4 linked regions of the Lepisosteus oculatus genome follow. The protein of the gene in region 1 interacts with the protein of each later gene in a pairwise test. Links are inferred from orthologs where the notes say so. Each region holds a gene or a part of one and is shown on either strand. Other genes may lie near its edges.

Evidence for each region.
Region 2: the proteins of pbx3b (region 1) and agtrap interact in a two-hybrid assay, tested with the Homo sapiens proteins (4 studies listed by BioGRID). The two-hybrid records come from large-scale screens. The link is inferred for Lepisosteus oculatus from reciprocal best matches to the Homo sapiens genes PBX3 and AGTRAP.
Region 3: the proteins of pbx3b (region 1) and mal2 interact in a two-hybrid assay, tested with the Homo sapiens proteins (2 studies listed by BioGRID). The two-hybrid records come from large-scale screens. The link is inferred for Lepisosteus oculatus from reciprocal best matches to the Homo sapiens genes PBX3 and MAL2.
Region 4: the proteins of pbx3b (region 1) and homeobox protein PKNOX1 interact in a two-hybrid assay, tested with the Homo sapiens proteins (2 studies listed by BioGRID and IntAct). The link is inferred for Lepisosteus oculatus from reciprocal best matches to the Homo sapiens genes PBX3 and PKNOX1.

What each region holds. Positions count from the first base shown.
Region 1 is NC_090719.1:1,104,608-1,112,567, reverse strand, and holds the start of pbx3b (pre-B-cell leukemia transcription factor 3b), read left to right. Parts: upstream 1-4,842; 5' UTR 4,843-6,588; coding exon 6,589-6,785; intron 6,786-7,859; coding exon 7,860-7,933; intron 7,934-7,960. UniProt on the Homo sapiens protein: Transcriptional activator that binds the sequence 5'-ATCAATCAA-3'.
Region 2 is NC_090720.1:5,640,845-5,648,460, reverse strand, and holds the start of agtrap (type-1 angiotensin II receptor-associated protein), read left to right. Parts: upstream 1-4,547; 5' UTR 4,548-4,562; coding exon 4,563-4,700; exon of another isoform or gene 4,701-4,781; coding exon of another isoform or gene 4,782-4,808; intron 4,809-5,318; coding exon 5,319-5,353; intron 5,354-6,532; coding exon 6,533-6,644; intron 6,645-7,102; coding exon 7,103-7,316; intron 7,317-7,616. UniProt on the Homo sapiens protein: Appears to be a negative regulator of type-1 angiotensin II receptor-mediated signaling by regulating receptor internalization as well as mechanism of receptor desensitization such as phosphorylation.
Region 3 is NC_090705.1:11,454,886-11,462,868, forward strand, and holds the start of mal2 (protein MAL2), read right to left. Parts: upstream 3,298-7,983; 5' UTR 3,161-3,297; coding exon 3,047-3,160; intron 1,957-3,046; coding exon 1,786-1,956; intron 1-1,785. UniProt on the Homo sapiens protein: Member of the machinery of polarized transport. Required for the indirect transcytotic route at the step of the egress of the transcytosing cargo from perinuclear endosomes in order for it to travel to the apical surface via a raft-dependent pathway.
Region 4 is NC_090710.1:1,028,901-1,036,568, forward strand, and holds the start of homeobox protein PKNOX1, read right to left. Parts: upstream 3,036-7,668; 5' UTR 2,941-3,035; intron 1-2,940. UniProt on the Homo sapiens protein: Activates transcription in the presence of PBX1A and HOXA1.

The sequences.
Region 1 (7,960 bases):
TTATTCCTCAACTAGAGCTCACAGAGGAACTAATGGCTATATCGTGAGAATACTGTTTTCATGACTAAATGGCTTTAGTGTGGCCAGTGTGAGTTATTTGCCCTTTGAAAAAAAAAAGATGCTAATGGCTCTTTGGAGGTAAAGACTTTCTGACTGCCCCTTTGTCTTCATAATTAAAAGCCCTTTTAGAAGATGGCAATGCTAGAAACGTTTGCTTTTCAAAACAGCGAGAGTGATGATGGATTGCTTAAATTGCTCTCTCCTGATAAAGATTCTGAAATGTGCACAAAGGAGGAAGCAATTTAATTTAAAAAATGTACAACGCTTTATACCAGTTAATGCACTTTGGAGCATTTTATGTATTGACATCCTATGTTTTGTTCAGCAAACACTAAGCGCCAAGTGTCTTCTGGCAACAGAGATCAACTTCACATGACTAAGTTCTGCACTGTGTACGCTTTGAGCTTCATAGCACAGGGCATTCATGATGCCTTAACAATTTGTTCACCCTGAGGATTATGAGCATCTAAAAATAAACGATCTTGTGCAAGGATTAGAAGCTAATAAGGTAAAATATTTGGGGAAGAAGACACATGATGAGTTGCCCAGGGTACCAGTGTACCTTAGTGATTAGCTTACACCCCCTCACACCGATCAGAACCGTGCACTGCTGAGGGTTTAACCATAACTGTGGAAAAAAGGAGAGGCCACTGCCGAAATCAAATTCTTCTGAGTTGCTGGTTTAAGGCCGTTTTTCTGGATGAACAGCTTGGGGACGGATTTAAAATGACATGCTTTTTACAAACACCAGGAAAAATCAAAGGCTCTTCTATCAGCAAATCTTTTTTTTTTCCTTCTAAAGTCCTCACTCTTCTGTCATTAGGGAACAGGGCTCAATTAAAGAGCCCAACCGGGAAATTTAATTTAGGCAGAATAAAGCCTAATAGAAATACTGCACAACCGTGGACATAACCAATTTATCTATACAGTAAGAACTCCATATTAAGTGTCATGAAATTGCATTAAAAGGAATTGATCGCACTGCTTTGTTTCTTTGTCAGTGCCTGTACTGTACAGTGGCTTCCTTTGATCTGAAATTTCTTCCTCGTTATACATATATTTTTAAATGTATTTTCATGTGTTGCTTTTTATTTTTCACTGTGAAATGCAGCATTCTTAAATCACCAGTGAAACTAGTGCAGCGTCTTTTTTTTTAATTCCTCTGGTAATCTCGGTTGCCAGCCTCATTAAAAGTATAAGGCGCTGAATGCAATATTAAGTGGCTTTGCTTTTCCCCAGTGCTGCTCGCCCCCATACCTTAGCTCTGAAATTTTAAATTGTTTTACTCCGCTTGCTTTGAAACATGTTACTAAATTAGTAACACCGTCAATCAATTAAGAAACAAACAACACACAATTGTCCTGAGCTGGAAGTGTGTGTGTGTGGTGGAGGGGGTGATAAAATATAAACTTGCTTTGATGCAGCAATAAAATCTGGCCCCTGCATTGTCCCTGTCCGTGAGATGTGACAAATACACAGAAAGGCAAATGCATTATTCTTTCTCAGGCCACAGTTACACTGTAAACACACAAAATGACTAATATATGGTCGAAACATCATGCCACAGCATTTAATCAATGACTTAAACAGTTGAATCAATATAAATTCCTAATATTTTAAGCATACTGGCCTCTATAAATCTTGTGATGTGGTTGATTGCAAAGTGTTTCAGGGGCCTATCCATGCATTGTATATAAAGACTCATGTAAATCAAACGCCACTACGACAGAACAAGGAGTTTTTTGACCTCTAGAAAAAAAAATGGCAGAAAAGACAGGAATCCTTTCCTTCAGCAGGATCTCCTCAGTGGCGTCCGGAATTGGAGTATTTAAGCAAAATACTGGAGCCGCGCAGCTCCTGCAGAGTTCGGAGATGCCCCCCCTTGTCTGCTGTGGCCGGAGAGAAAAGTCTCTCGTCTCTGAAATGCAAACGACAAGCATTACTGTTGCTGTCCTCGACGTCAGGAGAGTTCACCCCTTTCACCTTCCGTGTTTCAGCAAACCTGGGAATTCAGAGATTAAAACATGAAAATGTGGACCCCTCTCCAAAATCCTGACCAAATGAAAACATCATTCACCTCACCGCGTTTCGCAGCTTTGAAACACTTGCACGTCGTCTGGTGGGAGTGTTGCGTTTTCTTACGAGGAAGAGGGGGAAAAAATGTGGCGTTCCTCTATCCCCAACAACAGGATTTTCCCAAAGGAAGTTTTACTCCATGCATATCTGATTATTTGCTATTTAATTATCAAATGTTAATTCCCCTTGTAACAATGTGTCAGGATAGGCAGCCTGCAGGGCTTTGGAATCAATTCATGCACCGCGGTCTGTGAATCGGCGCAGCGTTTGCTAATTCTCAGTGTACCGTCTTGTGTTCGCGCATTTGCAGAACTATGTCTGATTGACTTTCAAAGTGCATTCCAATTAACAGCTTTATTTCCTCCTCTCTCTCTAATTTTAGATAATTACTCCCACCATCATCATCAAAAAAAAAAAGAGCCCTGCTTTCTTCCGCCGGCACGGGGACAGACTGTGGCAGGGCTGCTCGGCTTCCCGGCCGCTCCATCGCCGTGCTGTAATACCGCCAGCTCCTTAATTGTCATATTGATCCTGCTCATTCCCAATTAAATAATTAAGGGCCATTCTGTAGTGGAGCAGATAGGTCGGGCTGTGACCTGGGCCGAGCGGCCGCGGGTTTCAAGCCCGCACTGTGTCTTACTCTGCACTCTGCAGTAAGTTAGGATTTCTGCGGGGGATCTGAACGCGTCTGACTGTTCAAGCATGTATAGTGATGATAGAGCACTGGAATTAGGCTCTGCGCTTCGGAACCGGGAATTGCATTGGTGAATACAAGCTGGGCAGACTTATAATAATCATAGGTTTCCTGGACTATATGGGACAAATTATTCAACGCACTCTCCAAGAAAGAAATTGAGCGTCAAGTGAAACAAACACAAAAATGACAATTGTCTCTCCCACTCTCGTGGCAACGGTTTTCAAAATCAATAGCTCAGAATGTTTTGTTTTTACCGGTAATCTCGATGGAAAACGTGTGTAAAATCGGTGGAAGACACGTGTGGCCTTGCTGTGTCTGCGCTGCGGACGGCGGCTAATACATACTGTCCTGGCTTGTGGCCGTCGCCTATAAGCACACAAAGATCCCTGCGGGTCCTCTGGATTTTGAAAAGTCGGTCTGGTTCCCTTAGGCAGCTAGCTAGCTCTTCGGCGGCTGTGGGTTTGAAAGGTGACCGATGCGGTTTCACGTCTACAACTTGAACGAGGCGCCCACCCGCGAGCCGTGTTTATTGACGCCTCTGGCGAGCGGCGCGCTCCCTCCGCTCCCGAGGTCAAGTTCAAACCGCGGCTCGCGGTCCGGGTCCTCCCCGCGCGCGGCGGGCAGCCGGTACTGGTCCACAGCCCCGTGCAGGCAGACACGCGGAACGCCCCAGCTCGAGGCGGCAGTCAGCTGCACCCCGGAGCAGAAACGTCCGGCTTATTGCACAGTCGATAAATGGGCTATATTATATAACTGTCAGAAATAACATATATCCCATTTTGCAAAATTATCCAGTTATCCGAATGCGCTATTTTTGGGGCGTACTTGTATGTTTTTTATTTTAATTTTCCAAATCAAGCATTTATTTTATTCGTAAAATTTGATTTTAGACACTTACAGGACTTATTTGTAATGCAATTGTTCCCTAACGGTATTTCAAAAGTAAGAATAAATAAAAACTAGCAATGTGCAAAATATTAACGTTTATTCCAGTAAGCGGAACATCGTGTAACCCCACCGCCTGCCAACTTTGCAAAAATAACACACGCGTGTGTTTGTACTTTCGTGTGTTTCTGGCAGCTCTGCACAAAACTATAAAACGCTGGATGACCAACAAGCGCTAAATTAACTTCAGAACTTCACTTCTGTACCTCTTGTCGGCTGTAGTGAGTCACACGTAAAACACAGTTAAAAAAAAAAACCTAAATGTGAACAAATATTTAACGTACAGCCTAAAATTGTACAGAAACAGGGAGCTGGTGCACTAGCCTGGTTGGACTGTTAAAATATATTTTAGGAAGAACGTGTTGTGATAACAACAAAAAATCCGATTGAATTTCTAAGACGGTTTGTTGAAATCAGGGAACAGGAATCCTTCAAATATAATCTTTCCTGAATTCTCAACATTAGTTTTTGCTTATTTGCATTAATGATAATAATTCATTAGTATTTTTTCTATTTAAGGTCTGATTGCAGGAATAAACGATGGGATATTCGGTGATAACAATAACCCTTAAAAGTTACAAAGAATAACTCGTTTTCAGTTTAACAGTGCAAGTGGACTAATGCATAAATACATCACACACATTTACCACGTACTTTCTCTCCGTCGGGCGACAGTGAATTCTTCTTGAAAATACCTCGGCGAGTTTGTCTGGGGGCGTTAGAAGAAAAGTGTGTAGCTTTCAGAGAATAAAATCTATTTGAAAAAGGAAAAGAATAAAAAAAAAATGCCATTTCAGTGTCTACTCTGAGTGTCCGGAGGGATGACTTTACCGAGCGGTCAGGTCAGGGTTTGGAGAACATGTCACCTTTACTGAGGAAAAACCCCACGAGCAGAGCCCCGCGCGAGCACGCCTGCTCGTGGTGCTACCATGCGCACATCCTCGCATCCCCGCTCCTTTCTGCTCGTCTGCTGCCATAGCAACTGTAGCAAGGGACAGGGCAGCGCCGCCTGCGCGTGCGGTTGATGTCACCCGTGGCAACGGCCAATCAGAAGTTGCCGGCTGCCTTGCACGGCCATGCTGGAGGTGGCGGACCCTGGGGGCGGGCTGGAGCCTGCCAGAGCTCCCCGCCTATTGGCCGGCGCCGCTGTCAGTCAGGCCCCGACCGAGGCGGGGATTGGACGGCGGCTCTTCGCGATACGAGAACATGGCCCCCCGCCCGCCCACCTTCCGAGCAGCACTGGGCGAGGGGAGGCAGAGCCGCGGTCTTGAAAAGCGGAGAGCCCGAGCAATTCATTATCACTTCTGTATCAAACCATATAAAACTCGGGGCTTGAAGTGTGTGGACTTTTTTTTCCTCCTCCTCCTCCTGCCTTGGCTGTGTTTGTTTTAGTGCACAGCGCGCCCGTCCAGCGCTGGTGAGAGCTGTCAGCCGACGGGGCATTTTTTTTTGCATATATAGCGCCTTCCAGTGCAGCCAGGAGAACAAAAACCAAAAAAAAAAAGAGAGAGGGAGAGGGAGAGGGGGGTGTGGAGGAGGACGCGTCCTTTATTTAACGCGTTCCCTGCGTGTCGTGATTATTATTACCATCATCATCACTGTGGCCATTAGCGTGGCTCGAGCGGTGTGTTTCGCCGGGGTCTCTGCGCGCGGCGGCGCCACGGACTCAGACCCCTCCTCTCGTGGGCGGGCCGCGCGCTCTCATTGGGATGCTGCCTCTCTGCGCGCGGTCTGACACGTCTGCACTGAGTGAGTGACATTGGCACCTTGTCAATCGCTCACTAGTGCGGCCATCAAACACCATAAAGCACACAGAGTCAGGGATCCGGGCTCATAAATTTCAACAGCCAGATCTTTTTGCGCATTGCTTTACAGCGTGTAATTAATTTATTATTTTTTTTCTGGCGATTCTCTCTTTTTTTTTTTGGGGCCTCTGTTATTTTTCGCCCCCCTCAAAGAAGCTCCAAAACTTTTTTTTTGTGTTTTTATTTTTTAATTGTTGTCATCATCACCATCATTCTTACTGTCGCCGCCGCTGGTCCTGGGCATTTAAAATATCTATATTTTTTTTTCTCAAATTTGATTTTACTTATGTGTTGGGTATTTTTACCCTTTGTTACATAGCAAGACGCACGCTGTAGACAGGTAGAGCATGTTTTGCTGTGCTTTTTAATTTTTATTTCATTTTTTTCTTTTTTTTTTTGTGCGTGCAACTTTAGCTTTGGAAAGGTCTTTTTGGGGGGGTTCCCTGCTGGTTTAATGGGGATTCTGGCAAGTTTGCAAGAAGATTTGCACGGGGAGAACAAGCCGAAAGAAGACTCTACAAACACATGAAAACAATGTGCAGGGAGCTATAGCACGAGACGCCAAATCGCACGCAAAACCCGGCGAGAAGGTCTGAAGACGGTCAAGACACGCGAGCTGTCATCCGATTGCCGAAGTATCAATAACTGAAGTACAGAATTGATATCGGTGCCTCAATGCAACTACCAGCATAAAATTGATCCTGCAATTCTAAAGCTACTTCGGATCGAGGGAGAAAAAAACCCCACAAACGCGAAAAAAGTGATTTCTGGACACGCGATTGCTGCCGGTACAATTACTGCTATACAAATAGAGATTCTTAGTTTTGCTTCTTTTAATTTTTTGATCCGTTTCCCCTCCTCTCAGCCTCTCTTTCTTTCCCGCGCGCCCACCGAATTCCTCCTTGTATGTGATTTTGTCCCGCAAATCCCCCCTTTTTTATTTTCCTTGCTGGCTCCGAGCGTTGTCTCTCCCGGAGAAACGCATTGATTGTGCTGCGGCAGAGCATGGACGAGCAGTCCCGGATAATGCAGACTCTCGGCGGTGTCAGTCTGGCTGGCCACTCGGTGCAGGGAGGGATGTCCCTGCCTCCCCCGCACGGACACGAAGGGACGGACGGGGACGGCAGGAAACAAGACATCGGGGACATTCTGCACCAAATAATGACCATTACTGACCAAAGTCTGGACGAGGCGCAAGCAAAGTTGGTTCCTTTTCTAAAATTACCTCAGATTTGTTGCATGTATGGTTGCTAACCTATTATGAACCTTTAGAGCCAGTCTAGTGGTTATGCTGTCGCTACTAAAATTAGAATCGCATGGATCACAATGGTCATATTTATTGGCTGTGTGGTATATATATATTTTTAAATATAGCGGGACAAGGGGGCAAATGTAGATAAGTTATATTGTAGTGCTTGTGCCATTTCTCTTTAACTCTCGGGAGGCAAAGTATCTTTCTTGCTTCTCGGATGTACACCCGGCTGTCATCGTAGTAAAAAAATAATAATCGGGATTTTCTCTTTATCTCTTTATTTTTAAATTCACGGAGAAGTCCTTATTTATGGGGCGGGGAGTAGTGTCTTTAAAATCTTGAAAAGCAGAGGAATTGTAGAAATATTGTTGCAAAGTGCCCTGGTGCTGATGTTTATGTACATGTGTGTGCACAGTGTAAAAACAAGCAAGCGTGCAAGATACATTTGTAGCCCAGCATTTTACAGACTGTTACCTGTTAAAGACCCGGAGACGCCTGGTCCGAAAGTATAGAAATCATTCTAAAAACAGGCTGAATAATTTCTATTTACTGAAAAAAAAAAATACAACGTTTCAAACTGCTAAATAAGAACTTGTTCAAGCTCAAGTTCAATTGCTCAGCGTGTGGTTTTGTGTAACCTGTGTTTTACCCCCGATTGTCACCTCTTTCCCACTGAGCTACAGCCTCACTGTAAAACAACAACGCTGTAATAAACTAGGATCTGAGGATCTGATCAATTATTTTAGGTTCTTTGGAAATTACTGTTTGCAGCAGAATTTAACGCTCATGTCGAGAATCTGAATTTTGTGGCCCGTCACCTGCCGAAAAGAGTTCATTTGATCAGGGATAGGCAATATTATTATTATTACAAATAAATAAATGGAATATTCATTTAATGCTCGCTAGACGGGATGATTAAAGCGGGCGGGTAGGAAATGAGGAGATGTGCACAGTATTGTGTTTTTAAAGTTGTTTTGCAGTGTTGTATATCATGTTTTCTTTTTCTTGCCGTATACTGTAATAGGAAACACGGATTGAACTGCCACAGGATGAAACCTGCGCTCTTCAGCGTCCTCTGCGAAATTAAAGAGAAAACAGGTAAGGAAGGCACATTTTTGTTTTCAT
Region 2 (7,616 bases), on another chromosome or scaffold:
GTCAGAATGCCTGCAAAAAAAAAAGAAAACTGTTTTTCTCATCTTCAGTTTCAGCTTGGGGTCCTGTTCTCAAGAGAAGAGTGTGAGATGTGTTTTTCAAGGTTTGTGATTAAAAAGCTCTTTGGAATCGAATATTTTTTTCTACACTGCTGTTTTCTTATGTATAGTAACTTTCTCGAGCTGCATGTGTGTAACCTAAAGCGAATAATGTGAAATATCTGCTTCAAAAGCTTCATAGCCTTTTAATTTGAAGAAACATTATTGGCAAATGTTGCGATCAGTCAATGTTTGTAAACCACCACTGGGTCTAATCCTAATTCTGTCTCTGACTCTAGCTCTGGGCTCAGAGTTAAGGTTGGAGCTGAGGTTAAGGTTAGGATTTAGAGTTTGAATTCATGTAGTGTAGCACTGGAGTATGAGTTAGACCTTCAGTTAGGCCTAGGTTAAGGGTTGGAGCAAGGTTGTGCTTAATGTTAGGATTGGGGTATATGTGAGAGTTAAAACTAAAATAAGGGTAAGGAGAAGAGACAACCTCTTGAGAATAGCTACACTGTGGGAGGTATTCAAGATAAACAGCAAAGATTATGTCAGTGTTAAGTTTAAGTTTGGAGCTATGGTTAAGTGCTGGATTAGGGTTAGGCTGGATGAAAGTTTGGAAATTGGGTTGGGGAGGGCTTGTGTTTAGTGTTTGGATTAGTGTTGCAGCTAAGTGTTGTATGGGATAACATGAACTACTCCCAGACCAGCCACACACTGGCTAACTTGTTTTGCCATTGTACTATATTTTAGTAGTCCTACCCTCTGCACCCACTTTTGAAATCGCCTTCATCACTGCCCCTGCCACCACCCACACAGTTCCATACACTTTCACCTTTCTCGCTTCCTGCACAAGCCAAGAAACTCTTGATTTTTATGCAAACTTTTATCAAATGATTGATTTTGCTATTTATCTCACCCGACAAGAAGATACGGGTATTTTGACATTCACAATAGACACAATTTTTACTTATTTCACTGATTTGAGATCAGATCTTTCACAGAGTGACTTTTGTAGGCCTGTTTGTAGACAGCCCGAGAGTTTTAAAATGTGCAAATTGATCTTTTTTCCAGAAGCTCCTCTGTTAATTTCAGGTCAAAGATAAGCAAGACTGCTGTACATTATTATTGCATGTTGTAATAACATAAAGATGCATTTCCTCTGTTAATGATATTTATTGACTTATGAGATTTAGTAATGTCACAGATGTTATGACCTTGAGTTCTGGGTGGCCCACTAAACTCTTAGTATTGATCATGCATAAGTTGTAATTTAAGACAAGCTAAATATATTGACAAAATTATTCTCTGATGTGCTGCCTTTTCTAGCTCATAGATACAAGGATACAGTGCTTTGGGAAGATGTATTTTGTTGATGGAGCTTGTATCCTATTTTAAAATTCAGTAAACCCTCAGTTTTATGAACTAACAGAGGCAAAGTGGTGTCAGGTATAAGTCTGTTAAATAATGTAGAAAATACATACATATATATGCTTACTGGGTCTTTTAACTTTGAATGGCTACAACACAGCCAGTGAAATTGTCCATGTGCCTTATGTAAATATACTAGCTCTTTATTTAGTGTACTGTAAATATATGGTATAAAATTTGCTAAAGTAACAAAACATAAATAACTTCCATTGTAAGCAATTGACCTGGATAACAGTACAAACCAATGAAATATTTATTTTTGCTTTGTTTAATTATTGGTGCACTTCATTTTTGTGGGAAAAGTCCGATAAAAAGAAAATGATTCACTAGGAATAACAGCACCCGAGAATTAAGCGTCCTGAAGGGATTATGGGGTGTTTGATGAAAATTTGACTTAACCTGCTTGACTGAGGGCTGACCCCTTACATACACAACAAAGACAACACCTATGAGTATTTATAATACAAGTGTGCAGTAGAGCTTCTGTATTCACCTGACCAATGAATACAGATTTCTTGAGTGTGTGAAGGAGTGGGACAATTTAGTGTGAAGTAAAAGTGATTTCTTCTGTAACTGACTACCTAACAGTTTTGCAGTGCTTCTGCAGGTCAGCTCCTAATGAATACCACTGCCAGGCACTCCAGAGTTGCCCCACCCCTCTGATAGTGAGGTGGCCAAGCCCAGCCCATCTCCTCATATGCATTAGCTGCAAAGTGTCTACTTGTATTCTTTTTATTTTCATTGAAAACTATAAAAAAACAATGGAGAAAACAAATGAATGAACGCCCAGTGTGGGTGTTGGGCTGCTGGAGCTGAGGAGTTTGTGATGCGTTTTGCATCTCCAAGAATTCTACCTAATACTGTATAACTGAGACCCCTTTTCAGTGCCAGTGAATCTGAGCCCCGTGTGAATCTCAAACATTCTCCTTAAGAAAGAACATGGATATATACAGTATATACTGTATGAAACATCAGAGCACCGTGCCAGGACTGTTCTGAAGCACCAGGTTGGTGTTCTGTAATTGTGTGCAAATGTCTTGCTGTACAAATCACTGCCTTAGCTGATGGAGCATCTTCACAGTACAATACAAGCTGATGCAAATGTGAGAGGCAATGATGTACAAGAGGAGTGGTATGAGCACAGAACAGATCACATGTGGCAGCTGACACCCCATGTGTTCCCCAGCTTGATTAAAGACGTTTTTGTATCTGTAATTTTCCAGCAATCAGACAAAGCAAGGTGCATATTTCTCATTACTGAATTGTTTATTCTGAGGTACGATTGTCTTTCACACTACTCTTTGAAAAACACCTTGTTTGGACAATGACACACGGGCAGAAGATGGACATTTCCTGTTTCGAACTGTTCCTGAAATCACCAGTATTCTGCTTCCCTCGTCTGTATTCCTCTGCCCCAGAGCAAAACAGATCTCGTACCAGAATGCCATTATGGAGGTGCTGCTTCTGCTGGCCATTCCACGCATGTCAAATACAGCCCTGGGTCAAGGCAATAGGATCACTAGAACATGTGCACCTGCAGCTGAAAACAGAGTAGGTCCACAATTTGTTGCTACGTTACATTAACAATAGAAGGATTGATCCCACATCTCAGAAAAAAATGAATGAATCTGTACGTTAAACAGGTGTAGCTGGGCCAGCAGAACCTCAAGGAGAGAGGAGGTCTGCAGGAGGAATGGGGGAGCAGGGACAGAGAGGAAGAGTATAACAGAGCCTCTCCACCGCCCCCTCTCTTAGAGCAGTGTCACCGAGCTCAGGGGTCACCGGGTCAGCAGGAGGGGTGATCCTGCCACAGGACCCCGCTCTTTACAACCAGCCCACCATCTGCTGTGCTTTTTGTAGCCCAACAAAGGAGGTTTTTAAACAGCCAGGCGTGAAAGAAGAGACTAAAGTAGAGAAGAAAGGCGCATGGCACACATTTCCACACACTTGCGGTGGGGCCTGTGCGCCGCTCTTTGATTTATAGACCCCCAGTCTTCCTGAAATTGGGAGCAGCAGAGGTTTCCATGACAGCTGCGGGCTTCTGTTTCAAGTTTATGAACATCCAGATCATGTGGAGCCTCCGGTGTCTGCTGTAATAATAGAAGATTAATTGGTTTGCAAAAAATGGTTACAAAAGTAATTAAAATTGTAATCTGGAACGTCTTCAGCTGCTTGCTAGTGTAATAACACACAAATAATGTAAGATGGGGACACAATTCACTGAGCCCAAGTTTGATTTTTTAATGAATTAAACAAGGACAACTTTTTAAGAACACTGAAGTTTTAATCAACAGATTTCAAATTATTTTATTAAGGAACCTTTTCATAGTAAGCTTATACTAAGAGCAGTCATCAAGGTTTACTACAGCTGGGGAATTCCACGCGTGTATTTCACATTTTACAATGCTTAACGCACCTATTACTCAATTCTTCATGACTCACAGACTTCATCAAAGTATCTTGCTGTATGTAACAAATGCTTTTGCATATATTTAAAATCTTAACTTCTCAAACTCACTCCTCACTGAGGTAACATTGCATCTATCTGCCATAAAAGGCAGCATTTCCAAGTGTAATGGTATGTTGTCTGTTCAGCGCAGAGATTTGGGAAATTCCTGGTGTGAACAGCTTGGAATAGAGACGTGCTCTCACCTGAAAAAGCAAACCAGTGTGTGTGGGCACACAGCGGGGCTGTGACCAGTGACCAGAGGCCGGGCTGTCATTACAACAGAATGACCTGCTTATTGAAAGGAGTTTTTTATTTTTTTAACTTTGAACACCTTAAACCACCAGTGCAAAAACACACCAAATACTAAGTGAATATGGATTTTAAATACCTGCTTTCTCCCTGGTATTAGAATAGACGGATGAAGATACATCCACATCCACATCCACATCCACATCCACATCCACATCCACATCCACATCCACATCCACATCCACAGAACCAAGAGGACCAGGAACTAGGAAAGTACCCTGTTCTTAAGGGCAGTGCAACTTTAAAGGGTTCTAAGCAGAATTTCACCCAATCATCTTTCAACACCCCTTCACTATTCCGCATCTAACGCAATTCCTTCGGTGGGTGAAGGCGGGGGATGAGGCTGCTGACGTTCACGTGGTGCTGTCAGGGTGGGCACGGTCACGTGGAGAGAGTCAGGCTGCCGTCACATGGTTTGTGTTTGCAGCTCTGCCACGGAGGGCGGAGACCGGGAAGTTCAGAGAGAGAAATTACGGTACTGTACTTTTATATGATTTCTGTTTGGACGCAAAAGCAAAAAAGGCTGAGTGGGAGTGGATAGACACTCGACAAGAGCATGGAAATTCCAGCCATAAATCTTAAGGTAAATATTAAAATTTGGATTGTTTATAGAAGTGCATGAACAGAAAGACAGACAGGTCTGTTAAATGTACGTCAACGTGCAACTGCTTTCTGTTTCTGTAATTTGCATTCAGTCAGTTCAATCTGATAAACCGTAGGAGATAATTAGTGGCATTTCTTATCCTGTCTTCAGCAGAAAACTGTTGATTTCCTAGATTAAACTGTATGTTGTAGAACATTTCATCCTATAAATGAAAATAAAAGTTTGTTTACGTGTAGTTCACGCTAAAAGTACACACAAGCTCCAAAGGGCTTATCTTCTGTACATCTCTACTTTTAAATGTAGAGCTCACACGTTTAGGAGAACTCATAAATCCACAACACAAGAAGTGACAATTTTGCGATCCGTCCGGGGGCCTGATTTTACATCTATGCGAGTGGCGCTGAATAAACTCTTTGCCACTACCGGATTATTATTTTATTATTAGGTTTTGGATAGCTGTAATGAACCTCTGTCTGCCTCTCCCCACAGGCAATTATACTGGTTCACTGGCTTCTGACAGTATGGTAAGCGGCTTGATTTTTTTTCTTTTCAAACAGCTGAGGAATTTCTCCGGCTGCCCTACTGCCGTTTTTAATTTTTGGAGGAGGGTATATGTACTTTCTAACCTTCCACTACCCCAACCCGAAAATAACTTTCTTTGCTTTTCAAGACTGCAGTGGTGCCTTCTCTAGGTTTTCTTTCGCTGCCCAGAGTTTTCGTGTTGACACCCAAAGCAGTGAATGATATCCTTTCCCTTTTCTTTTAAGTAAGAAAAGTAAGCATGTTGATTTAAAAATATATATATATATTGTAAGACCAGTCAATATGGGTTTATTACAAATCCTTATTATAGGTTTGAGGTTCAGAACTAAATATTTATTGTATGTAATATGTGTGGTTTTATATTGATAATCTGGATTATTATGGATTTAGGTCCGTATTCCTTAAACACTTTCTGTTGTGTACCTAATTCAGTGAATTTGCTAAAAGAAGAGAAGATTTCCCACAATGAGGAAGAAACTTTGGTATTTCTGACAATATGTATAGTTTACCATAATGGAAAAATGCAGAAACTAAACATTGCATTATTATTTTACTATTTGTATGACCCTAACCACTTTTTAACTATTCTCTTGTGTGGTTTATGCATCTAATGAGAAACATAACCGTCGGTTGTCGATTAAGAAAGCCTAGACTGAAAGTGAAGTTGAATTGAGCTGCAACAGGAAAGTAACGTGACTCAGTTCTCTGCTGTTAAAAAGGAAACAAGTTTACACAATGTGTGTTTTGCAAAGCGTTGTGTCCACTGTTACGTACAAAGTTATTGGTTGTAGATGTTCTGGGAGTTTTGATGAAATAGTTACAAGAATGGAACTCCACAATAAGTTAAGGAGCCCTTTTTACAGCTTATTACTGTGTGGTATTCTTAATTTCTCAGTATGAAAGGTAGGTCATACAGCACAGTGACAAAAAGGCACAATGAGTATGCTTGCAGTTTGTGCCACTCATAGAGAAGCCTCTGAATTATTCATATTTTAAAATTTAGACTAGCAAAATGTATGAGTATGAATAGAAATTCATAGAAATCAATGGGTTTTTTTGTAGCAATAAAGGCTATTAGCATCAACACACAGTAAGACATCTGGCTCTGGGGTTGTTGTGAAGCGAATGTTGAAGTAGAGCTGTCCTGTGCTGGTCTCCAGGGCCTGTATGTACATCTGGCTGCCTTCATCCTACGCTTGGGGTAACTTCAGTGTCCTGGCAGTGGGCGTCTGGGCTGTCGCTCAGAGGGACTCCATTGATGCTGTACTCATGGTGAGTTGGAAGACTTTCCACATGCTCCCTTGAAAACGATGCCGCATATTTGTTTTTTGACAAGTTGGGGAATGCACCCAATCAGCTAAGATGACACCTTTTCACGGCAAAGCCTTTGCTCCAAATTAAACCTGCGTTGTTGTACAACGGGTTAAAAGGAAGACAGTGTTGTGAATGTGTAGCAGCTCAGAAACACACAGCCCACATGGAGGAATGCGGCGACCTCTTGAGATATTGCACCATTTAACTTTACAGGAATCAGGACGTTGTCCGTAAGACACACACTGTAATGCATTACGCAATGTGGTGGATTTGGTTTTAATTTGCTTTCCTACGGTTTAAAAGTTGCACTTCGGTCAGCTTCCTGTAATAGCCTTTAGCTGTTGTGTTTCCCAGCGTGATTCCCAGTGCTTACCTACCTTGTCCTCTCTCCCACCCACTCCCACGCCTTCTCCCAGTTTCTGGCCGGAATGGCGGTGACGATATTGACCGATATTATTCATCTGGGAATTTACTACGCCGCAGTGGAGAGCGGCACGCCCCCCGGATTGAGGGACACGTTCCGCTTCTGCGCCGGCATGGCCATCCTCAGCCTGCTGCTCAAGCCCGCCTCCTGCTTCTTCGTCTACCAGATGTACCGGGAGAGGGGAGGCGACTGCAACGTGACCTTCGGTAAGCACAGGGCCTCCTCTGGGTCGGGGCCTGGCTGTGGGTCTGCTCCCGAGCCTCGGCCTGTTCTCATGCAGTCGTTGAGACAGGTTCTTTCATTTCTGTTTGGTATTAAGAATTTGACACCTACCAAACACTGCTGTGGATTGTAACAGGCCAAACAAGTTGAAGGAGTTTCTACTTGAGTAGGCCTGACTGCAGACGCTACATTTCCCTTGAACTCAGAAAGGATTTTCTGGATGCTTTGTACCTTAGAGCAGTGTTTCTCAATGTTTTCCACCCTGCAGCAGACTTACCTAAACA
Region 3 (7,983 bases), on another chromosome or scaffold:
TGATATTGGGAACAAAACTTTGACAATATACGAGTCATTTATTTTCAGCGAGATTGTGGCTGTTAATTTTGAACACAAAAAGAAAAATTTTAATTTTAATTTAATACCACTTATTTTGCATGATATATTTATATTAGGATTTTTTGGTGGAGCCTGGGAGAAAAATGTTCTAGTAAAGATTTCTAAGAAAAAAGGAGTGCTTGTGTCAAAATGCATGTTTCTGTAATGCCTTTTTCCCTTTGGACATCTGACTAATACATGTTAACACACCTTAGTGGATACTTACAGTCATTTCTAAACTAAACTGCTAAAATACCTTAGAGTGCTTAAGCAATTGCTGACATGCCTTGGACCCATTAAACAAGATTTAGCTTGTACAGAACATTTATACACAGTAGCTCACAAAATTATAATCTATCAATGATACCTATTTTAAGCTTATTGAACACTCAGCAAATGATGCTAAAATTATAATACTGAATTAATAATCTTAAGAGTATACTAATGGCAACTAAGAAAGTTTCATTTTCTTATTTCCTTAGTGCACAACAAGCCGAATGCCACCAGGACAAAGAAGGTCTCCTTTTTCATTGGCATGTCTGGTACTATACTGTACATCACTTTGAATTCCCAAAACATTTGTAAGAAGTTTTTTTTTTCATGGGGTTTTTACATGGATAAAAAACTCATGAGTGATAAACCCATTTACATAGGATTACTGCCCAAGGAAGAGCGATGAACAGTTTATAAAACAGGTTGCCTTGGGGGAGAGGAGACTGTTATAATGACACACCCCAGCACTCAAGTGTCTTACACCTCCCTGGGCAGGTGCCCAGAGTCACAGACAGAGATTAAATTCAGTGTCCGCTACAACTTATAATTAAAACAAACGCAATAAAACTTTTGATTTTTGTCAAGGATTTTTGTCACAGTAAGGATGGGCTAAAATTCCACATCAACATGTTTAAGCGCATACTGAAGACAGCCAGTGGAAATCAAAGCATGTTTTTAGCTCCATTTTCAGCTAAGTCTCAAGTCTCAGGGGTCATAGCTGGTATACTATACCTGTATGTTTTATCTAAAGTGTTAGAAGAAGTAAATATTATTATATAAAAGTAAATGCAGTGTTCTGAAACTTCTTATAGAAAATAAGTAAAACATGGTGTTGCCTTCAAAGAGGTTCATGGTTCTTAACCTTTGGAAATGACAGAATGTTCTATAGTTCTGTGTCAACAACAGAACATACTAACAAATGGTACCTAAAAACTGAGTATGATATCATAATAACTGATAATTACCATCGCCTGATCTCATTGATCAGGGAAAAGCATTTTACTTATGGAACTGATTCATACGTATTTGCCATACTATCCCTTACATACTATCAGTAATTGCTTCTGGAAAGCCTTCTAAATCAGAACTGTACCATGAATCCTGTATACTTCACCATTGTCCTCTCTTTATATTTACCCAAGTAAACAATTTTTTAAAACCTTTTTGCTGTAATAATTGTTACATGTCAACACTAAATGGCAGCACATCATTTTAAATAAGCATAACTTAAGGAGGGGACTAAAAATGTCCAACAAAAAGTAGATACTGTCATCTGCTCTCCTAAGGGTCACTGATTACTTCCTTATTGTCACATGGGCGACAGAATCGCAAAACACTGAATATTGTTGTGCTTTTTTTTTCTTCTGCAAAGAATGCAACTGGGATTCTTTGCTGTTTGGTGCCTGCAAGCCATTTTCAGTTCACCAAAGAAATAAATGTAAAACTTCTTACCAGGAAATTCCAGTCAGTGTTGATCCTGTCAACAAAGCCCAGGAGAAAGACAAGGAGGTATGCAGTGGAGAAGGTAAACATGGTTACGGACACAAACATAACCCAGCCTTGTAACAGAGGCACAGGGACATTGGAAGAGGCCACAAGAATCCATACCAGACCTCCGAAGACCTGCATGAGAAAAGAAAACTTCTTTTAACATGTACTACTATAAATAGCTTTCTTTGTCATTAGGAAAAAAATAAAAATCATCCTTTTGGATATTTCACCAGCTGCTTTTTCACTATTTTCATTTTCAAATATTAACAGGCAAAAAAAACCAACTAGAGCTAATAGAATTTTCACTTTTAAATGTCTCTTTCAGACATTGTGCACTCATACATCACCTGTGTACAAAGAAATACATAAGATACTTTTCTCCATTTTGATCTGGAGTCCTAGACTGTAGGCTTTGTGAGTAATGTTTACAATGTGTCCAATAAGTATTAGAAGAATGTTAAGTTTAAGACCCCGGTATTTTTTATAAGGTCTTCAAGTGACTTTGTCGTTCTTACACCAAGCATTAGTAAAAAGTTCTCATTGCTTTCGTCATTATGAAGTGTGGTGGTTTTACAGTGTTACACCAACGCAAGCTTGTAATTAGGTCAGTTCTTACCGTTGAAATGTTAATTATTGTACCACGCAGAACCAGGTAAATCTTGCATTTAGTACTGCCCAGCCTATCCTGCAACAATACCTTCTTAAACAACAGCTTCAGATGAGTTGTTTAGGTATTTAATAACAAAGCTGAATAAGTTATAATACATTATGTTGTACACACTTCGGTAAATATTAAAAGTATACCATCCACCGGAAAAACACCAAATGTCACCGGAGAGGATCTTCCACAGCCGTGCACATTCAATTGTACGGCAAGTTTTCCAGACCTCCGTGTTATTTTAAATGTGGGAGTGGCAGGGCTAATCCTCTTAGCTGGGTTCTCGAAATCTTCATTTTACATGTAATGTCGGAGCGCTGTCATCACCTCATGAACTTAACAGAAAGCACCACGTTTCTTGCGAGTTCTTGCGCCGCTGCTATCAAAAGCAAAAAAGCCAAATGCCTCATCGGTACTTCCAATATTAAGAAGAAGCAGAGACGAGATCGTTTCACTCGGTGCTTCTTGTCTGGAATATGAAAACACACACTCGAATGTACTAGCGAACCACGGCGAGTGGCTAACGTTTGTAAGGAAAGGTGTTCAGAGTTTGTACACACTTACTATTTCTAAGCAGACGAGAGCCCCCGAGTACGTTCTCAGCACCTCAGGTCCCGTAGGCAAAGAAATTGTAGCGGCTGGGAAGGACGTAGCCGGCGAATTTGCGGGTACAGACATCCTTTTCTTAATTCAGAGGTTTCTGTTCAACAGGGTCAAGATCCAAATCAAATTCCTGCCGAGTCACGTGTCCTCGCAGCCCAACAGGTGCGCGGCCACGCCCATTCTGTCCGTTCGGAGCAGCGACACCGCGTCTCTTTGAAGGAGACCTGGAGTACGTGAAGAGCGGGTATAGACTGTCATAAATAATCCTGGAGTAGCCGAAGTACGTATGTTTAGCCATCAAAACCGGGGTAAACAAATGAATTACGACTTGTTGCTCACTTGTAATAGTATCAGTGACGTTTATAGAGAAGCACGCACATTTTATAGATGAGGAACAAGTAAAGATTTATTCCAAAGGAACAAGTAATAGGTTTATTCCATGCTGGGAAAAAAGAAGAAAAAACACAAAGTGTTTTCTTTCTTCTTCTTTCTCTTTTTCTTTTTTTTTCAGCATGGAATAAACCTATTACTTGTTCTTTTTCAGCCTACGCATGCTGACGCAGCTACCTACCTGAAGATTTATTCCACGCTGAAAAGATGAGAGGAAACAATGTTTTGGCTGGGGTGCCTTCTTCGAGTGTGTTTTTCTTTTGGCTTGTTGTTTCTTATTTTGCTGATAATTGGCATTGTGTTTATTGTCTTCTGTTTTCAGCATGGAACCTTTTCACCACAAACCTTTACGTGTTTCTTTGCAGACTACGCATGCTGACGCACCTACCTTCTTGAAGTATTTTATAGATATTCTTTTGAGTTAAAAAAATAATATTATGGCAAGAACACGGACGTGACTGGCTTGAAGTGTATAGAGAACCACAGTTAAGTTACAAATGAATTTTCAAGAGATATCATCCTATGGACACCAGTACATTATACTACAAATATACAAAAAATGAGAATATTGCAGTCCATTACCAAAGGAATTTAAAAAATACATATTCTTTTTAATAATGTTAATTTTTTTAAAAAAGTTTTAAAATAAAAATACAGTGTATTCTAATTTTTACCTTTAGTGTAATAAACATTTGAATCAGGAGTTCGGTATATCTTGGTCTTTTAAACTGCTTCTAAATGTTTAAAGTCAATTTTTCACATAGTTTTAGGTACAGTAATTTATACAATCAAATGGAACAATAACACTATCATCCTACATGACATTTCTGGAATCTCAAAAGAAGTGAATTTATGACATATATATATTTTCTGTAGCAAGAATATCATTTTGAACAACTAAAAAGTATGTCTGTCATGCTTGAATCTTGGAATTGAAATGTCCTCAATAGCACTGATCAAAGGAATCACATATTCCTACCTTCAATTCAGTTTATTAGGAAAACCTTAGATTCTGAATTATTGTATGTGCCATCTACTTCTCAGCTTAATCCCCGGGAGAATATAAATACTCCTTTGACTGTTAAAAGGTTTGGATGCATTCTGAGAAGCCATGCTCAAAAATGCTGTCCACTTAAATTTGTATCTGAGAAAGAGAAACAAGTCCAGTGGTGAGCATAACTGCAGCAGCTCCCATGAGCTGCCATTCAGAAGCCCTGTTGACATGGCAACCAGGAGCATCATCTTTGGAAGGGGAACATGTGACATTGTCAAGCTAATACAAAGTTAAGAAAACAGAGTATATTCCCAAAACACTCCTCAGTGTGTATGTGTGTTTGCATATTCCCTATCCAATTCAAGTTTATGTTAAATATGTATTTGCACAGTGGTTATATACTTTATAATCCTAATTTAATAAATTAATACGAATAAACAAGAACAAATCCGATACAGTCGTAATTATTTAGTTCTTGCCAGGAATATTAACATTTCCTGTCAGAGTAGGAAAGGACATGTTTTTGTTTCAGTTCAACTGCATTATGCAAGTCATATTGGCTTCATTCACAGGTTAATCATTCAACAGTGTTGTTTACTCAGTTTGGGATAGTGGTGCCTTTCATAGTTTGCTAACTCTGACACACATAAGAGGTGAGTGAAAAAATACAAGGCTGAGCTGGAAATCCAATAACTGCTGCATGTCTATTTCCAGGAGATTTCTATTTTTATTTATTTGATTAACAAGTAGACATATCATCTTAGGATACTTACAAAGTTTTGTGTTTATTGTGTAATGCTTGTTTTCAGAAAAATAAATTCTACAGGTACAGGCAGTCACATGTTCTAGTACCAGATGACAATGTATCTTTTTTTCAATATTGGATTGATTCAAACTACACTTTTTGAACCCGAAAAAGAGAGTTGTGAAAACATTAGGTCGTTAAGTTTGTCAGAGCATCACCAAAAAATCTCACTTCCTGTTAATAAAAGAAATTTTAGAAATATTTGGCCAATATGGCTGTTTTAGTTATAGTAGGTAATTGATCTACTGTAAGTATCTCAATCAGATGTTTACTCAAAGATGTCAGGGTGCTGGCTTCAACAACATGACTTGAAAAATAAACTCATCTATCACAGTTGATTCTGAAGGTGTCCACTGGATTAGTTTTGTCAATACTTTCAATGATTTCGCATTCTCGATTCTGGCCCCCAAATTCTCTGTGTAAGGCTAAAAAAACATAGACTTTTTTAGCCTAACAGCACAGGCTATTCTTTTAAGCCCTGGAATGTACTGTACCTTTGTGGTCTTCTTCGAACATATTCCAAAGCAGCAGCATCTTTTTTAAGATGTGGTGAACAAAGATATTCCTAGTACATTGTGAAAGTTTTACAACACAGCAATTGCTTTAAATCTGACACTTGTAACTGTGTCTTGTATCGTTCTGTTTACGTTTTTAATGCTTCCTTCTATTGCCTAGAGATGGAAAATGATGTATCAACACCAGCCTTTTTCACAGGCAGCTTTTTCAAGTGCAGCGATTACCGTACAGTGATTTTAGGTTTATGCTGTAGTTAATGTTTTTACCACCTGCTTATCAATCTTGAGGCGTTTAACCAGTACTGAATTTTACTGACTTTTTGTTTTTTTAAACGAGAAGTAAATGACTCATTATAGAACAGGTTTGATCTTTTTAGTAATTTTTGCTTTTGCTAAGAAATTGCATCTCAGTAATGGTGAAATCATACTAAACTGCTTTCTCGGAGTAGTTTAATTGAATGTGTTGTAGAGCCCTGTGGAGATGTTAATAATTAGCTGCAATATGAAGGCAAAAGCAGCTTCTGTTTAGACAAGAAATCACAAAGTGCACTGAAGTGTACATTTTGATTAGCTACTGCATAATTTAAAGATAGAGTGGAATAGGTAATTTGCAATTTGCTATGCACATTCATTGAGCCATAAACCAGTAAAAGTGCTGCCTTTCTGTCAATATGGATCTATAGCAAAATAAGACAGAAGTGGGTGGAGAACAGATTTGGGGAAATAGGAGCTAACAACAAATGACAAAGTGTTTTTTATCTATAGACCCTCAATAAACATTGAAGCTTCTGTACTCCATGATGAGGAAGTAAAGAAAAACTATAATTCATTTAAAAATATTTTAATTCTAAAGTGCATTAAATACTTTCTAAAGGAAAAGGAAATCCGACATACAGTTTACAGTATTGAGTTATGAAACATTAAATATAAAAAATAAAGCAGGATTTAAATGGAAATAATTCCACTGTATGTGTTTTCATAAAAAAATATGATGCAGGTGAACTAAAAAGTGTTAGGAGTAAATGGTCTGTTTGGAAAGTAAGTGCTGTAGGATTAAATTAATCAGATGAGTTTTGTCAGTGCAAACTTTAACTCATTGTAGTGTTAAAAGGATGGACAGCTTGTTACTCTTGGAACAGGATGGGTACAATATCCAGATCCTGTTTTGAGTATTCAAGGAATATTATTTCATGTTCTATGCCCTTTTATATGAAGAGATTAAATCTTCTTAATAGAAAAAAGTAGGGATTAATTTGGTGAAAATTGGTATAAGTGTCATATTTCATCCTTGTATAATTGTTGCTATGGTGCTGCATTATTACTGCTAGTGTGGATCCACCTGAGGTATTGTTTAGGTCTTATAGTTAATAAACCATGAAGAAGGGAAAAGGCTAGTGGATCTCATGAAGTAGCAAACCCAGGACCATGCCTGATGTCTATGGTTCAGCAACAAGAATTCTCCATAGAAAGCAGCAAGTTTCTTATATTGTCAATGCATTTATTTTCTTTAAATGATACAATTCAGCACAATATCAAATGTTGTTTTAAAATCTAGAAAGCAATGGTTTACAATTAAGAAAAATCTAAGGAGAAAGAAAGCACATTGTAGAATAATTAAAAAAGAGCAGCATCAGGATAAAGAAAATAAATATAATGAGTGACACAGATCAAAAATGTTGTATGTAAGGCCAAAAAAGAAAAGACTACTGTACAGTAAGTGGTGCTTAACAGAAACTAATAATTTTTTCAAAACTACAACAGCAAAAGTTTAGTAAAGGATGGTGTCTTGGAAACAATACTGGGAAATATTTATAAAATGAAAAGAAAATGGCTGATATAAAATGAATATTTCATTCAGGTGTTTAACAAGGAAGAAGTCAATGACATGCCTCAGTTTATGAAATGTGTAAACTAAATATTACTAGCATAGAAGAGGCAGAAGTGTTGTAGGTACTAGAAACACTTAACTGGAAGTAAACGTTGCAGCCATGATGGTATTCTACCAGCTGAAACCTGAAGTATATAGATTACTTACAAAACACTTTCAGCTGTCACTCAAGACAGGATAATCCCCACTTATTGGAAAAATTGCTATTAATATTACACTTATCCACAAAAAAGAGTGACGAACCAAATCAAAAAGCCATTATAAACTGCTAAATCTTTCTTCTATTGCATATATGATTATGGAGAT
Region 4 (7,668 bases), on another chromosome or scaffold:
AAGGTTATTAATCAATGTCACCTCTGAACCCTATGTTCAACACCTGTCCTAATTCAAGTCTATCTAGAGGACACCTGAAGAACATACAGAGGCTCTTTAAGATGGTTGGATTGATATAGCACCATTGCCACATGTGGCTTAACATCCAGTTAAGAACTGTTTTGACAGACAATAACTTAATAAATGAATGGAGGGATAACAGTGTTCTGTGTTTCTGAAATTTGTTGAGATCATGTTATGAGTTACCACATACCTTCCTGTGTATTTCTGTAAAATACTGTATTCTGTGATCCATTTCTAAAGAACTTCAATTATGTGCATCTGCCCTGAGCATTTAATTCAAGCACCTCACCAGTGGGCATAGAGTCAATTCAGATGTGGCCTTGGAAACGCCAAAAATGCTAAGAAGAACAACATCCCAAATCCCAAAATTCTTTTCAGAAGCAACATACTTGATTGTAGCTCTGGAGCCAAAGTTATCACTAAGCACTTTGATACAGCCATACAGAACTTTAAAAAAATCACACATGGGTAACATAAAATGCATAACTTTAATACTTTTCCGTTCGGTCGACAACTGTCATCTAAACTCTCGGCATGAAAGTTGACCACTTTCAAGACTGCAGTCAGCGATACCAAGGGCAATTATAACCACACATCAACCTTCCTTTTCAACAGAGGAGAATGTGTCATTGCAACTAAAACTAGTACCTCAAACTTGACTACAACATTTTCTCAGAAAATGTCAATGTTTTATCCATGTCTGAATTTATATTTCCATCCACAGATTAAATGTATCTCAACCAAAAAGTTTGTTTTTGCTGTAATCATAGGCTGTGACCTGCCTGTCCTCCAGGACCTTTACATCTCCAGGACTAAGAAGCATGCTGGCAGGATCATTGCTGACTCCTCTCACCCTGGCCATCATATTTTTCAATGTCTCCCATCAGAGAAAAGATTTAGGTCAGTTAGCACCAGGACCACAAGACACAAAAACAGCTTTTTTCCTCAGGCAGGTGAGCTTCATTCTTTTCACTTTCCCTTCTGATCACAACATTTGCCATGTGATGGCCAGTCAGACACAGAGATCTAATGGCAACATTTCCAACACTGCTCACAGATACAAGTACCAGCTTTTTTCCTCAGGCAGTGACTCTTATTAATCATCCCTATTAATCACTGAAAGTTACTTAAATTGTGTTATTAAAATTGAATATTGATTACTTAGTTTTCAACCACGGCATTATGTGCATTAATAATATTGTCTGTATATGGATATGTATAGTATGGACAGTTAATTTATCATTTACAAATATGTACATACGAATGGGGTTATCACACAAAAGTAGAGTTCTGACACATTCTTGAGGTGCAATATATATTTTTCTTTAATTTCTGAAATGTATATATGGTATGTCTGTATGTGTATAGTGTATGAGCAACTCACCAAGTCAAATTCCTTGTAAGTGAAAACTTGGCCAATAAAGTGATCTGTCTCTATATGTATAGCAGACATATCATCCATAAATCTTGTACAAACTGCAACAGATGTTCTAATGTTGAGATCTGGAATTTTCCATAGTTGGTCATTTGAGAGAGTAACAAGAGTGGCGCCTTTTCAATCTATTTTGAAATTTAAATAGGGAAATTGTAATGACGAAAGTCAGAATATTTAATTTGAACAGGACGTGCAGTTATAAGCATTAAGCTTTTCTATCTAAAATGTATGCTCCTTGAAAAAATAAAGAAAACAAAATCAGTGTTACGGAGTGTAACTAGATCCCCGATCTTAATGCCTCACAGCTTAACTACGTCAGTCCTCGATAACGAAGCCAGACTGAAACTCGATCACAAACCTCAGTCCTTATGAGGAAAGCGGGAGACTGGCCCTTAAAGGGAAATGCTTCAGCAGGAGCACGAAGCGTACAAGGCGGTATAGAAAAATACATCCATTAAGTTACATCATAAAAAGCAAAAACTGATAACGCACCCTGATATTATGAAGAAACTTTGTATTGTTCCTCGTATTTGGATTTCAATCAAGCAATCTATTAGTGTGCCTTTTAACAGTGTCAACAAACGAGGATGTAAAAAAGCAACAACGTATAAAACATGCAAATTGTTTATCTCTATGCCTGCATTTTGTAAGGCTGTGCGTTTCATTCAGGTGTTTCATTTACGAATTTACTGTGTGCTGCTAACAGTTTTTTTTTTTACTGTCCAATATGTCCCATCAGCTGCTTCCTGTAAACCTACCCCCATTTTAAGGGGCGCCCTGCTAAATTCTGGTGAAAAGTTAATTCATAAGCTCCTCTAAAGAAACTTCGTAGATGCTCGGTGCCTATTTAGACTTTTCAGAGAACTATGGGTTCATGGTTCATTTTTTATGCCTTTCATACGCTGCAAGTCATAACGCTGGACACTGGAAGGGCGTCTTGTTGATTCACGTCTCGGTGTGTTACGGAGGGGTTTTCTCAGCGCCATGTTTCGCGCCGCAACGTCCGCCACAACCAGCCCCGGGCCTCGACCGCTCTGCCCAGACAAACCCGGCCAGGCCGCATCCGGCACATAAACACGACCGACACGGAGAAAATTCGCCCCTGTCCCTTTAACGTTGAGGAGAAACCTGCCCCCTGTGCCTCCATCAATCAAGCCGGGCAGCTGCCTAGCCCTGCCCTCCTCGCTGCGCCGAGCAACAGCAACGAGGCCTTGCCAGCAGCTCCCTCGCTTTTCCAGAAATTTCCCTTGAAAAAGACGCTCAAACCGGACATATTTTTCTCCCCTTGTTCAAAAACGTAGGGCGTTTTGTACCCTCACGCTGACCCACTCCGAGCCACCTCCCTACTATGCCCTGGTACTTGCGATAGGGCCGACGGCGCTTTTCTGCGCGATATTTGATTGATAGTGAGCGGAAAAAGAGGATTTTGAGTGACAGCTTACCTGGGTGCCAATCTTCGTCACACTGACAAGCGGCTGCAGCAATCGGGACCCGCAGCCGCCGCGTGGCGTCATCGCGCCGCGGGCACGCAGCTCACGGGATAAGGTGGGAGGAGGGATGACGTATGGCGTGCACGCGCACGCGCACGACCCGGGAGCGGATGCGATGACACGAGTCTTCTCTGTACTGCAGGAACAAGCTAGCACTGCAGTACGTGGCTCAGAGATTTACTGGTTAATTTGAGAATAATCCTATCTGCATTTTGTTTGCAGATTTTAAACGACATTCCTGTGTTTACATTTTAGTTTCACATAGTCCAAAAACCCAAAACGTGCTAGTTTTAGTTGGTGTTAACGTGAGTGAAGACTTAGATGTGTCCTGCAGCTGACTCGCACCAGATGTCTACCGTGTCAGGCTCTGGCTCATCGCGGCCTTCTTTAAAATAAAGCAGTTACTGACAGTATATCAGTATATCAGCTCTTTGAAAATGTTACAAACAATTCAGTAATATGCAGTTTAAAATTTAGTCTTTGAAACGTGTTTTTAATATAGATTTCTAGCTTCTATGTGCAGTGAATTAATTATATATTAACACATTTTCTAATCCGTAGACCCCAGGTTATGTTTTTCTGTTGTAGAATGCGTTGTTTTTATATACTGTTATAAGAACAAAATGGGAAAAAAAGGTTTGTGACTAGACTAGACACCAACAGTTTCCACTACAGTCCTACTGTACTTGGACGACGTTCTGACTGATGTGTAACTATGCCACGAAGTGACCTGACCGTATTGTTACCCTAAGCCTAGACAAAAGCTTCGCTCAAATAACGACAATGACAATAACTGTTGTGAGCAGCTGGAATTGGTGTTATTCTTTATATATTCTTCGGACCAGCTACCTGTTATCTGCAACAAACTCTCTGATTCGTTTTGTAGAAACACAAAATGTTAATGCTTACACTGACTTCCAAAGATCCAAAAACCGGATCCCTTGTTTATATACTCACCTCATAAGCAGTTTCACGTTCATCAACAGAAACAGCATGAGCAGTTCGTAGCTTATCCGTTGCTCTGGAGGATTACAATTAACACTATAATGTGATGTTTATGTGATTGTTTAGATGTCTCTAGGTTGAGCAACATTTCATTATTGAATTAAGAGTGTGAAACTCGCTAAAAATCATAGCCAAATGATTCAAGCGCATTATACAGTAGTAGGCATGAGAATTATTCAAAATAATTTGTCTACAGACAAAAGGTTTTTAAAAATCACCATGTTGTAATTAAGGTATGAATATGTTTTTATAGTCATAAAAATTCAAATGGAACAGTTTTTCTAAATGGAATTATATTTCAAATTGTTTGCTTCAGGACTGAAATAGTTTAGATGCTAACCAATCAATTTTTATATATTAGAAGATTTAATATTCAGTTATTTTTGTGTGATTTATTTTCATACTTCTGTTAGTATCTAACTGAATCCTAAAGCCAATTAACAGTGAAAGCAATAAGGACTAAGAAAATGCAGATTTAAGATTGAAAATTAGGGGTTCTGGATGCCTGGAACCACACTGTCCTTCTTTGTTATTGAAGCAGATTTACTGGGATCAGTAAGCTACCAGAGCTGGTCAGATAGTGAAACGGTTCATTTAAAAGCTCCTTTATACATTCATATATTTGTGGTCTTTAACTCTGGAGATCTTGGGCTGTACAGGAAAGCCAGGTATGACTTGGAGAGGGCCATCAGACATGCGAAAGGGGACTACAGAGACAGGCTTGAATCACAATGTGGGGGCATTAACACAATGCACCTCTGGAATGGCCTGAAGGCTATCACTAATTACAAAGGACAAATAGGTTATAACAACAGCTGATGATTCACTGCCTGACCAACTAAACAACTTCAATGCGAGGTTTGACGCTTCACACAAAACGCCCATTGAGCCTGGGGAATTTGTGCTGCAGCTGTCTGAACAGGAGGTACAGAAAGCTTTCGGAAAGGTGAACCCACGCAAGGCTGCCAGCCCTGATGGCATCCCATCCCCCTGTGTTTTAAAGGCATGCAGAGAACAGCTGGCCCCTGTCTTTACTGTAATATTTATCACGTTACTATCCCTGTCTACTGTCCCACTGTGCTTCAAAAGAACTACTGTCGTGCCACAGCCTAAAGCAACCAAGTTGTCATGTCTGAATGACTACCGCCTGGTGGAAGTCACCTCAGTAGTCATGAAGTGCATGGAGAAACTGGTGAGGGGACACATCGACAGTATTGTCCCGGACTCCCTGGATCCCTGGAGTTTGCTTATAGGAATAATAGGTCAGTACACGATGCTGTCTCACTGGCTCTTCACACCACTCTTGAGCACCTGGACTAGAGGAAAACCTATGCCAGGATGTTATTTATTGACTTCAGCTCAGCCTTCAACACAATTGTGCCAGGCAGGCTGGTGGTCAAACTCAGGGGTCTGGGCCTCAACAACGCCATCTGCAACTGGGTCCTGGACTTCCTGACAGGCAGACCCCAAGTGGTGAGGATTGGAAACAAAATATCATCCCCTCTGATCCTCAACACAGGGGCCCCCAGGGCTGCTGCCTGAGCCCATGGCTGTATTCTCTATAACACATGACTGTGTGGCTAGATTTAACAGCAGCCGCATCATAAAGTTTGCTGATGACCCCACAGTAATCTGTCTTATCAGCAACAATGATGAAACCACCTACAGGAGCAAGGTAGAAGAGCTGGTGGAGTGGTGCCACAACAACCCCACACTTATCATCGGCAAAACAAAAGGGATTATTGTGGACTTCAGGAGATATGGAGGACTTCACACACCGATCCTCATTCACAGGGCTCCAGTTAAAACTGTCAGCCCCTTCAGGTTCCATGGCCTCCAGATCACTGAGAGGCTGAGCTGGTCAAAGAACACTGCTGCCATCCTCACTAAAGCCCACCAGCGCCTTCACTTCCTGAGACAGTTAAGGAAGTGGGGGATGAGCAAGACAACACTCACCAATTTTTACTGTAATACCACTGAGAGTGGCCTTCCAGTGTGGTATGGTGGAGCCACAGTACAGGACAGAAAAGCCATACAAAGGCTTGTGAGGTCCTCGCAGTAAAACATTGGGACCGAGCTACCCTCCATCGACCAGATACATCTCGACCGCTGCCACAACTATAGCTATACTTGAGCTATACATTGGGACCCAGTTGACCCTGGCCATGATCTGTTTTCACCCCTGGGTTCTGGTAAGAGGTATTGCAGTATTAGAACACAGACCAATTGACCAACAGTTTATTCCACCCAATCATAAACAGCTCAAATTAGCACCTGCACTTTAAGGTACTACACTGTTTGCACTATGTCCTGTCTTGCCTGTATTATAACATATATTCTCTAAATTTATTGTCCATGTCTGTTTGTCATTTGTGCCTATTTTTTTTTTAATATTACTGGGTACAGCTGAAAGAGTAAGCATTCCAATACTCTTGTTGTTATAAAAAATATTGAATCTTGAAAATACTTGAATTACACATGTGCGATATGATATAGAAAAGGGTGCTCAGTTGACATTTGATCTATATGCAGTTACAGTGCATGACAAACATTTGTCACCGCTTATATTACCTTAGAAAAAGGAACCTGAACATTAAGGTAGTGTAGAACTCTGATCTGTTACCATTACAACACAATGGAATACTGCTACACACTATATGGACTTGCACACAAATGCAGATATTGTTCCCTTATGGCTGGCATCACTAATCATCAATGGGTCTTCCACAATAACAATAAATGTAACATACCTTGCATTTGGATTTAAACTTCCAGGAAATTGAATAAAATTATACCTTTTTTGAATGTGATTTGTGTTTACAATCCACTTGCTTGTTCAGCTTACATTTTGAGATATTGTAGGCTATATTCAGAAAACGTTAATGTCTATGTGAACTTTTTTAGTATTCCTAGTTAATAGTCAATGTTTAAACTGTTTTTCCTTATTGAACAAGTGGTAAATGTGACAGAAGGTTAGGGTTTTAAAATAGTCCTTTAACTTTTTCAACTTACCAAAGACACTTAAACCTTTTAACAGCACTAAAATAAAATACATTTAGAATTCCTGTCTTCCCCCTTAGATGTACAGTAGTAGCACCTCAGGCACCATGGGCAAGCTAGCTACAAGTGCTGAGTTACAAATGCAATGTAGATCATTATGAATGTAACATACCATTTTGATTTTAACAATGGGAACCCTCTGGGGAGTTCACTAGGCATGAAAGTCAGGTCACCACTCTTGTAGCCTGTTATCCATATTGGCTAAAGCTCTGAGAAAAAAATAGCTCTCTCTTTGCAAAACTATCTGAACTATGTGTGGTAGTTCACTCTAAACCAAAACCATTTTTTTTGCCTAAAATCATGTCAGATATTTCAAACAGGACTTCTATGGGTCTCTATAACACCATCAACTAGCAAGCAAAATCTCCATGTTCTCCTGGATCGGAGCCTAGCTTGCGACACAGATCCAGTAGAAAAATAAGTGGAGAAATAACAGACAAAGAACCAAATTAGAGAGTTGTGTAATAATCAGTGTGCTATCTTCACACTTCTGCCTTGGCCATACAAACACTAATTTTGATCCTTTTAAGTATTTAAGCAATGTGCTGAGAGCTCAACAAAGCTCCATTCCTCTTTTAGCCAAAGTGCTGTCAGAGATTAAGTCTCTATAATCAA